Linked DNA regions of Xenopus tropicalis. The protein of the gene in region 1 interacts with the protein of each later gene in a biochemical or structural test. Links are inferred from orthologs where the notes say so. Each region holds a gene or a part of one and is shown in the gene's direction. Other genes may lie near its edges.

Evidence for each region.
Region 2: the proteins of atp7b (region 1) and atox1 form a complex in vitro, tested with the Homo sapiens proteins (3 studies listed by BioGRID and IntAct). The link is inferred for Xenopus tropicalis from reciprocal best matches to the Homo sapiens genes ATP7B and ATOX1.

What each region holds. Positions count from the first base shown.
Region 1 is NC_030678.2:150,000,030-150,003,852, reverse strand, and holds part of atp7b (copper-transporting ATPase 2), read left to right. Parts: intron 1-549; coding exon 550-684; intron 685-941; coding exon 942-1,136; intron 1,137-1,398; coding exon 1,399-1,581; intron 1,582-3,425; coding exon 3,426-3,618; intron 3,619-3,823. UniProt on the Homo sapiens protein: Copper ion transmembrane transporter involved in the export of copper out of the cells. It is involved in copper homeostasis in the liver, where it ensures the efflux of copper from hepatocytes into the bile in response to copper overload.
Region 2 is NC_030679.2:16,843,250-16,847,870, forward strand, and holds the start of atox1 (copper transport protein ATOX1), read left to right. Parts: upstream 1-1,631; 5' UTR 1,632-1,714; coding exon 1,715-1,720; intron 1,721-4,621. Other genes in the region: g3bp1 (ras GTPase-activating protein-binding protein 1), read right to left, coding at 1,427-1,506. UniProt on the Homo sapiens protein: Binds and deliver cytosolic copper to the copper ATPase proteins. May be important in cellular antioxidant defense.

The sequences.
Region 1 (3,823 bases):
TATCAAGGTGATCAAACCAATAACAGGGATAGAATCGCCATGTTGCATTGCATGTAGTGCTACATGTGTTCAGGAGTGCTGCATATACAGTATATTATTTAGATGTTTATTTAGATATTTAGGGAGCTCCGAGGTATGCTAGGTTTTGGGGAGTCCTGTATTACTGTTGTAGAACACAACATACGCCTACAGGAGCAAGTGTTTGGTGAATGGGCCCTAGGGGTCACAATTTTGCACCACTTAGTGCTCAAGCACTTGCACCCTTAGCAATCCTAAATGAGCCCAATAGTGAGCTATTTAAATCAAATGTTTAGATTTAGTATGATCCCTTTTGCGTGTGTTTCCAATATAATGGGCCAGATTCAGTTCAAGTACTTTAACACATAAAATATAAAACTGAATCTGGCCCAATATATGGAAGATAAAACCTAATATAAATGGCTAAAAATACTTGAATGAATATGGAATTCTGCATATTATACACACGTGCACAGACATATGCATAAATCACTCTTTAAATGTGCTTATAATTGATTCTCTCTTTTATAGGCACCTATCCAGCAGCTGGCAGATAAAATAAGTGGATACTTTGTTCCCTTTATCATCATTATTTCTGTTGTGACTTTGGTGACTTGGATAATTATTGGCTTTGTAAATTTTGACATCATAATTAAATATTTTCCGGTAAGTATTTTATCCACTAGTGTTTTTTCACTAGAAAATGCCATGCGTGAAATTAGCCTAAAACTGTTGTTTTCATTGATCTATTCAGAGTATAATATAATTTGATGTGGTAGGTTTGTGTTAAATTGGTAGTGCCAAAATTGACTCCATATTGGTTGCTATTGGAAACAATACCTGGATAAACAATGGACCTGTTAGTACATCCACCCTCGATCTACTTTGCCCTGTTAACATATTATTTTTCCATATCATTTCAGAGTTACAGTAAAAATATTTCTAAGACAGAGGTTATAATACGTGTGGCATTTCAGACCTCCATCACGGTGCTGAGCATCGCCTGTCCCTGTGCTTTGGGCCTGGCAACACCCACAGCAGTAATGGTTGGTACAGGAGTGGCAGCTCAGAATGGCATCCTTATTAAAGGCGGTGAACCACTAGAGATGGCTCACAAGGTCAGTAACCAATAAAGATGTACTGTATGTATGTTGTGTGTTCTATCCTTTTATAAGGGATAATATGCCCAATGCTGTCCTGACTGCTGCAAAGTCACATTGCACAACTACTTCAATAGGTGGAAGGGCCGTAGGTTGTATATGTAACATCTATTCACTATAAATTGTGTTTCCTTTAGTTACAATAGGTACCTCAATGGGTAAAAGTTACCTCCTCAATACTTGTTTAATATGCAATACAGTTGTGAACTTTTATATCTAGATAAAGGCAGTGATGTTTGACAAGACCGGCACCATAACACATGGGGTACCTAAAGTCATGCGAGTGCTGCTGCTAGGCGACGTGGTGAAGATGCCTCTGAAAAGGATGCTTGCTGTGGTGGGGACGGCGGAAGCCAGCAGCGAACATCCTCTGGGAATGGCAGTCACAAAATACTGCAAGGAGGTAACACGTGTTCTGCTTGGACTGATCTTTAGCCATAATGCACCAATCAGCTCTGTAATTCAGTGTCTAAATATGATATCCCATTGCCGCATTGTGATGCACTATTCCAGTAAATCTAACCAGTAGATCAGTGCTTTGAAGCTTCCCAATGCTTTTCAGTGAGTAGATTATTTGACATACCACATATGTCAAGGCCATATTATATTAAAATGATGGCATACAAAGATGTTATTAAGGCCTCCACTTTGGCAACCTGATGTAGATTTAGACACACAGAACCTTATTACTCTTTAAGCTTACATTTTTATTATTATTGTTACTTTTCATCCCTTTTATTTCTATTTAGTCCCTCTCCTGTTTATCGTCCAGTCAGTGGCGTAGCGTGGGCTTTCGTCGCCTGGGGCCGACCGGAAATTTGCCGCCCCTCTATTTAGTTATTCTTGAAAAAAATAGACAAAATAAAAAAAGCAGCATTAAATTTTTTTTTTTTTTTTATTGAATTTGAAATGCGGTGCGCGTGTCATAATTGTCAAAAGTGGATTCAGCTGTGCGTCCGTGGCTGCCCATGGTGGCAGGGCCGCCATCAGAAATCACGGGGCCCCTCCCATCAGTACAGGACACACAGACATAAAAAGTATTAGGGTCACCCTACCACAGTGCCCCCTAACACTATGCTGGCCAGGCCCCCCTAACGCTATTCTGGCCACGGTCCCCCCATACAACTGCCCCATAGACAGTACCCCCATACACAGTGCCCCCAATTGCCCCATACACAGTGCCCCCCACACACATTGCCTCCAATTGCCCATAGAAAGTGCCCCAATTTCCCCATAGACAGTGCCTCCAATTGCCCCATACACAGTGTCCCCATAGACAGCCCCCTCCACACAGTGCCCCCAATTGCCCTTAGACAGTGCCCCCAATAGGAAGTGCCCCCATACACAGTGCCCCAATTTCCCCATACACAGTTCCCCCATAGACAGTACCCCCCAAAGACCTTGACCCCCCACAGAAAGTGCCCCAATTGCCCCATACACAGTTCCCCCAATAGAAAGTGCCCCCATACACAGTGCCCCCATAAACAGTGCCCCCAATTGCCCCATACAAAGTGCCCCCAATAGGAAGTGCCCCCATACACAGTGCCCCAATTGCCCCATACACAGTGTCCCCATAGACAATACCCCCCAAAGACCTTGCCCCCCAATAGAAAGTGCCCTCATACACAGAGCCCCAATTGCCCCATACACAGTGCCCCCAATAGGAAGTGCCCCCATACACAATACCCCACAAAGACCTGGCCCCCCCCCATGGAAAGTGCCCCAATTTCCCCATAGACAGTAGCCCCCACACAGTGCCCCCAATTTCCCCCATAGTACATACCCCCAACAGACCATCGGCGGCGGCTCCTTCTCTCTTACAAGCAACAGGCGCTTCTATAAGGTTGCGCCTCGTCGCTGACGTGTGACGTCATACGCACGGGCGCAACCTTATAAAAGCGCCTGTTGCCTGTAAGAGAGAAGGAGCCGCCGCCGCCCCTTCTGATACGCCGCCCGGGGCCATGGCCCCCTCGGCACCCCCCTCGCTACGCCACTGCGTCCAGTCTCTCATTCAAACCACTGCCTGGTTGCTCAGACCATACAACCAGATAGCTGCTGAATTTTCAAACTGGAGAGCTGCTGAACAACAAGCTAAATAACTAAAAAAAACAAAGAATAAAAAACAGTTGTCTCAGAATATTACTGTCTATCATATTAAACATTAATTTAAAGGTGAACAACCCCTTTAAGTACTATTGGACTGCAGTGGAATGTAATATTTTTTTTTTATTTCTCTCTCCTTTATAGGAACTTGGTACAGAATTGTTAGGATATTGTACAGATTTCCAGGCTGTCCCTGGATGTGGCATCAGCTGTAAAGTGAATAATATAGAGAGTGTTCTAGTGCAGAATGAAGAAGGACTAAATGAACAGAATTCTTACAGAAATTCTCTCATCGGAACCACAGACAGCTCTTTGATTATCACTCCTGAATTATTAGGTATGGCTCCATGTGTAATAGTGACGTGCAGAAGAATGAGTGCACTTTGCATGTAAATAAGCCCCAATACTGGATATATAAACCATATTATTATTTTTGAATTTGCATTCTGTGTATTATGCTGTTTTCCCAGGCATCTAATGTTTGCCAGATATTCAGACAAGATGCAGAACTCAGGGCACGAGCCCCTATATTGTAAGCTAGC
Region 2 (4,621 bases), on another chromosome or scaffold:
GCTTAAAGGACAAGGAAAGGCAAAGGGACTTGGGGGTGCCAAAATGTTAGGCAAGCGTTAGAAAGCGGCGCAAAAACTTTTCTGGCTTTGAAACCTTCAATGTATGATTTTGGAAGCCTTCCATAGGACTCAATGGCACTCTACAGATCCAACGTGGCCAAAAGATAGTCACGAAACCAAAGCTTGAATGAATTCCGAAATGGTCCTAGTCTTTGCAAAAAATACGACTTTTTCGAGAAAGTTAATGAAAACCACAAAAAAGTAGTGGAATTTTAACGAAATTATCGTGGACATTACAAAAAGTTCTATAATTCTCTAATAAATGGCCCCAGAGAGACAATTATCAGTAAATGATCAGCATTCAGGGGCGGGCCAAGCCGACCGGGCGCCCTAGGCAACTCGGTCGGCCAACTCCGCCCACCTCCCCCCCGAACGGCGCATGCGCGCCAAAGCACAGGAGGCGGTGCAGGGGGGGGGGGGCAGGGCGATTAGATCGGTCATTGCCTCCGCCGCTAATGACAAGCGGTGGAGGCAATGACAAAGTAGCACTAGGGGTAGGCAGGAGAGGCTCCTGCCTGGCGTCCCTCAATCGTTGCGCCCTAGGCAGCTGCCTCTTCTGCCTACCCCTAGTTCTGGCCCTGTCAGCATTGTCTATTTTAGTAGCTGCTACTAGTAGCCCTGTGTGTCTTCACCCTTATAGAAGGAGGAGCAAATTCTGGAAGCCCTGTTAATACATTGAGAGGGGGGAGCTGGGAGAGATGTTAAGGTAGAAGGTGGGTTTAGTTTCCCTATGACTCAGTGTAAAGAATAAAGGTAAGCACTTTGGAATACGTCATGCACATAGTCAAAGTTTCCAATATCATGCATGATCCTGGGCCCAGTTAAACACACCCTACCATGCAGATTTGAATGCAGTCTTTTAAATGATGGGCACACAACCTCTACCAAGTAAGAATGTTATTAATATTAGTATATTCAACAAGGCCTTTATGTTAAGAAAAGGGTTAACTATCTGTGGCTTGTACTGCCTTTCCCGAAAATTATAATTTTAACTTTGCTATCATTACATTTTGCTATCATTCCACTGTGATGCAAACATCCCCTGCTAATTCCCCTGCTAATATGCCCTATAACCCTACTCTCGGAAGATTAATATGATAATTGTAAAGATCAGGAAATAGACTTGAGCTAGAAGCGAATTAGGGCTAAGCAGCCTTCAGTGTTGCAGAACTTTACCATTACACTAACGCTGCTAGCTCTGCTGCCTGGGGAAAGCTGGGAGCTGTAGCTTTAAATTGACTGTAGTGCTAAAAGTTGTTGAAGTTATGCCATGTGACAGCTTTTACCCTTTAGTGGCTTTCTAACTTGACAGAGATAGTAATGAGTCTTACAAAGGTGGCTCGTTAAAGTAACCCCCAGTACATACTTTCTGCCGGTTTCTCCCATGCTTAGGACTGTTTCTTCCTCACTTGGGCCATGCGGACCAGAAGATGGCAGCAGCATCATTTCCTATGGTTTGTCAGCTAAAAGGACCCTGGGCTCTTGCTCTCCTCTTTCCTAGTTTGAGACCATCCTCCTCCTCCTCCTCCTCCTTCTCAGTCATGGGACAGGAAGCAGGGCTGGGCCTGATCAGGGCTTCCCTTCCAGCAAGCAGAGCTGAGGTGTATTAGAGAGATCTTCTGAGCCGCACAGCGTTGCGCACATCTGCCTCGCCATGTCGGTAAGTGATCTGTAAATGTCGTTTAGCAGCAGAGGATCAGCGCTGCCCACACTCTCACCTGCAAACATCTGGAATCTTATCCGTTAACAGAATACTTAGTGGCAATTTTTGCAGAAATGTTTCAGTTTATTTGTTCCTTCCATTTTTCTATGTGTTTGTTGCAAACGAAATGAAAGTCTTGCTATTTCTGTTTATTGTAACTACGCAGATTGAGTTGTAGCATTTAGGGGTTCTAGTGCTGTGGGTATAAGCATACATTGTAAGTGACTTAACTAGATGAGAGGTAATAAGGATGTAAATATTGGTTTTTAAATGTAAAGAAATCTAATGTGGGTGTATATTATGCACGGTTAGTCAATTGGTTCCCAAACTGAGGGGCCAGCACCCAGACTGAACTACTACTTAAGCTGGCCATACACGCAACAATAAAATCATACGAAACTGATTTTTACATTGTGTGTGGGCTCAGAGCTATCATCTCGATAATTTTCTTACCATGGCGAATATTTTGGTTGAATGACAATAAAATCTGCGCATGTATTGTGTATCTGACAATATCCTTGGGGGACCACAATGAAAGTCACTTTTGTACCATAGGTATCTGCCAACTATTTTGTGTTCCTTCAACATAAAAAATAATCTTCAGCACACCACTTACATACATGTTCTCAAAGGGTGCTTGACTTCCACGGGCGCTCCCAAGCCTTTTTTCCATGTATCTTTGCAAAGGGAAAGAAACACACCACCAGTGTGTCGGCAATGCCTTTAAATAATTTATTTGCAGAAATGAACAAACAGCACAAGCTTTCGGGGGTGACCCCGACTTTGTACCTGAAGAAGGGGTTTGTTAATTTCTGCAAATAAATGATTTAAAGGCATTGCCGACACAATGGTGTGCTTCTTCCCCTTTGCAAAGATATTTTGTGTTCCTAACATCCTCTGATTTGTTATATTTAGAACTTTATCCTTCAATTTCAGTCTGAATGTTAGATTTATATTGTTGCACTTAAATGTACGATATCGATATCTGAATGTTCTGACTATGTATGGCCAGCTATACTTCTGGAATCTGATCTATGGGGATGCCCAATTGGGGGGCTACTGCCCCAGCCCTATGTTTTATCAGGGAGAAGGCCAGGGCCCCTCCAGTTGTTGCCATAGTAATGAATACTCAACTTCACTATTGGCGATATTTGTGAACTTGCATTTTGCAAAGTAATAGCCTTTGTTATTGCATTGCTGATTTTAATTGTGCATAGTGCACTTTTAAGGTGTGCTTGAAGATAGCACTAACTATTGGAGGAAAAATAACATTTTTTAGTAAGAAGTTTCATTACATACTGGTATAAAACTAATAAAGTTATAAAATTCACAATCTTTCTTCAACTGGCAGCAGTGAATGCTGAACAGTTTCCATGTTCACAAATGCTATATTCAGTTCACAGAAAGCATAAAATGTGTGCAAGGCCATACATTTTCGCATTGTGAATAATTTTCCATTAACGACTTTTATTGCATTCCCCTGCAGATGTGCACAGAACATGTGGCGGAAATAGCGAAATTATGATCTCCCAGCTTGATGTCATTATAATAATTATTATTAACATGTAATTATAAAGCGCCAACATATTCCGCTGTACAATTAATAAATATGAGCAGGGCTAATTTGGTGTCCCTGCCCACCCTGAGGCAGGCCTTCCGATACTTCATCACCAGTGCATTGAGCCAAAATTCTGATTTTGCTGCCCCTGGTAACTGCTGAGGCAAGTTCTCAATTTACCTCATGGCAGCAGCGCCCCTGGATATGAGCCAAGTGGGGCCCTGACCCCACCCCCATGCAGTGATTGTCTCCCATTCTACGTCAGTGACTTACAGATTTCCACATCTGCATTTATATGGTCTGAGCATGGAGCCACAAACTTGCAATTCTGGTTGGTTGGCATTTGCTGAGTAATATAATTAAGGTACATAATATAGAGATTACCTAGATAGCAGGTTGCTTGTGGACTCTCAAGTGGTCCATGTGCTTACTACAGGTATAACTGATCAGGACAAGGATTTTGACAACTGCTATTTATTACCTGAAACAATTTTTCTGCCGTTGAGCAAATTACATTTGAATGCCACTGCTGCTCCAGACTTAGTGTTTACAGGTCAGTTTGCTGAAACCAGATCTACAGAGGCAGGCCAGTTCTGAATCAAGGTCTAGCATTGTTCTTTACATAGGCTGCACAAAGGTCATGTTTGCTTAGAGTATTAGAGTTAAAAAAAAAGAGAGAGTGTGTATGGAATAACGCAATGTACATAGTACAGTAGCAGAGGATGAAAAAATACCCACCTCCATCAAATGATTGTTCCTATTAGTTCCTAACTGAGTCAGTTTTACAGTAAAGGCCAGCAACTAGATAACTAAAGCCGGCCATACATGCACCGATATTATCGTGCGAAACCTCGTTTTGTTATGGTTAAAGGATTTTGATTGGGTGCCATTGAAGGCGTCCAAACAAAATTTATGCTCAGGGCTGAATCGGCAGAAGGAGGTAGAATTTCTTTTGTTTCTACATCCATATCTAACAATTCAGCCCTGAAAGTCAGATGAGGGTGGGAACAATCACGAAAGATCGAAATTGCTATGTGTATGGCCACCTTAAGACTTCTGATTAGTGGCAGAACATACATATACATGTAATGTGGCTATTGGCCAATCACATTTTCTACAATGACCAATCAGTATCTTTTAGACTATGGAAATCTTACCATTTTAGCGCAATGATGGGTATTCTCAGTATCAACCTTAATATATGTGCTATAATAAATAGAAAAAATAATTTATATTTTTTATAATAATTTTATATGTACAAATTAAATGCATAAATAAAGCCCAAATAATACCTAAAGTAT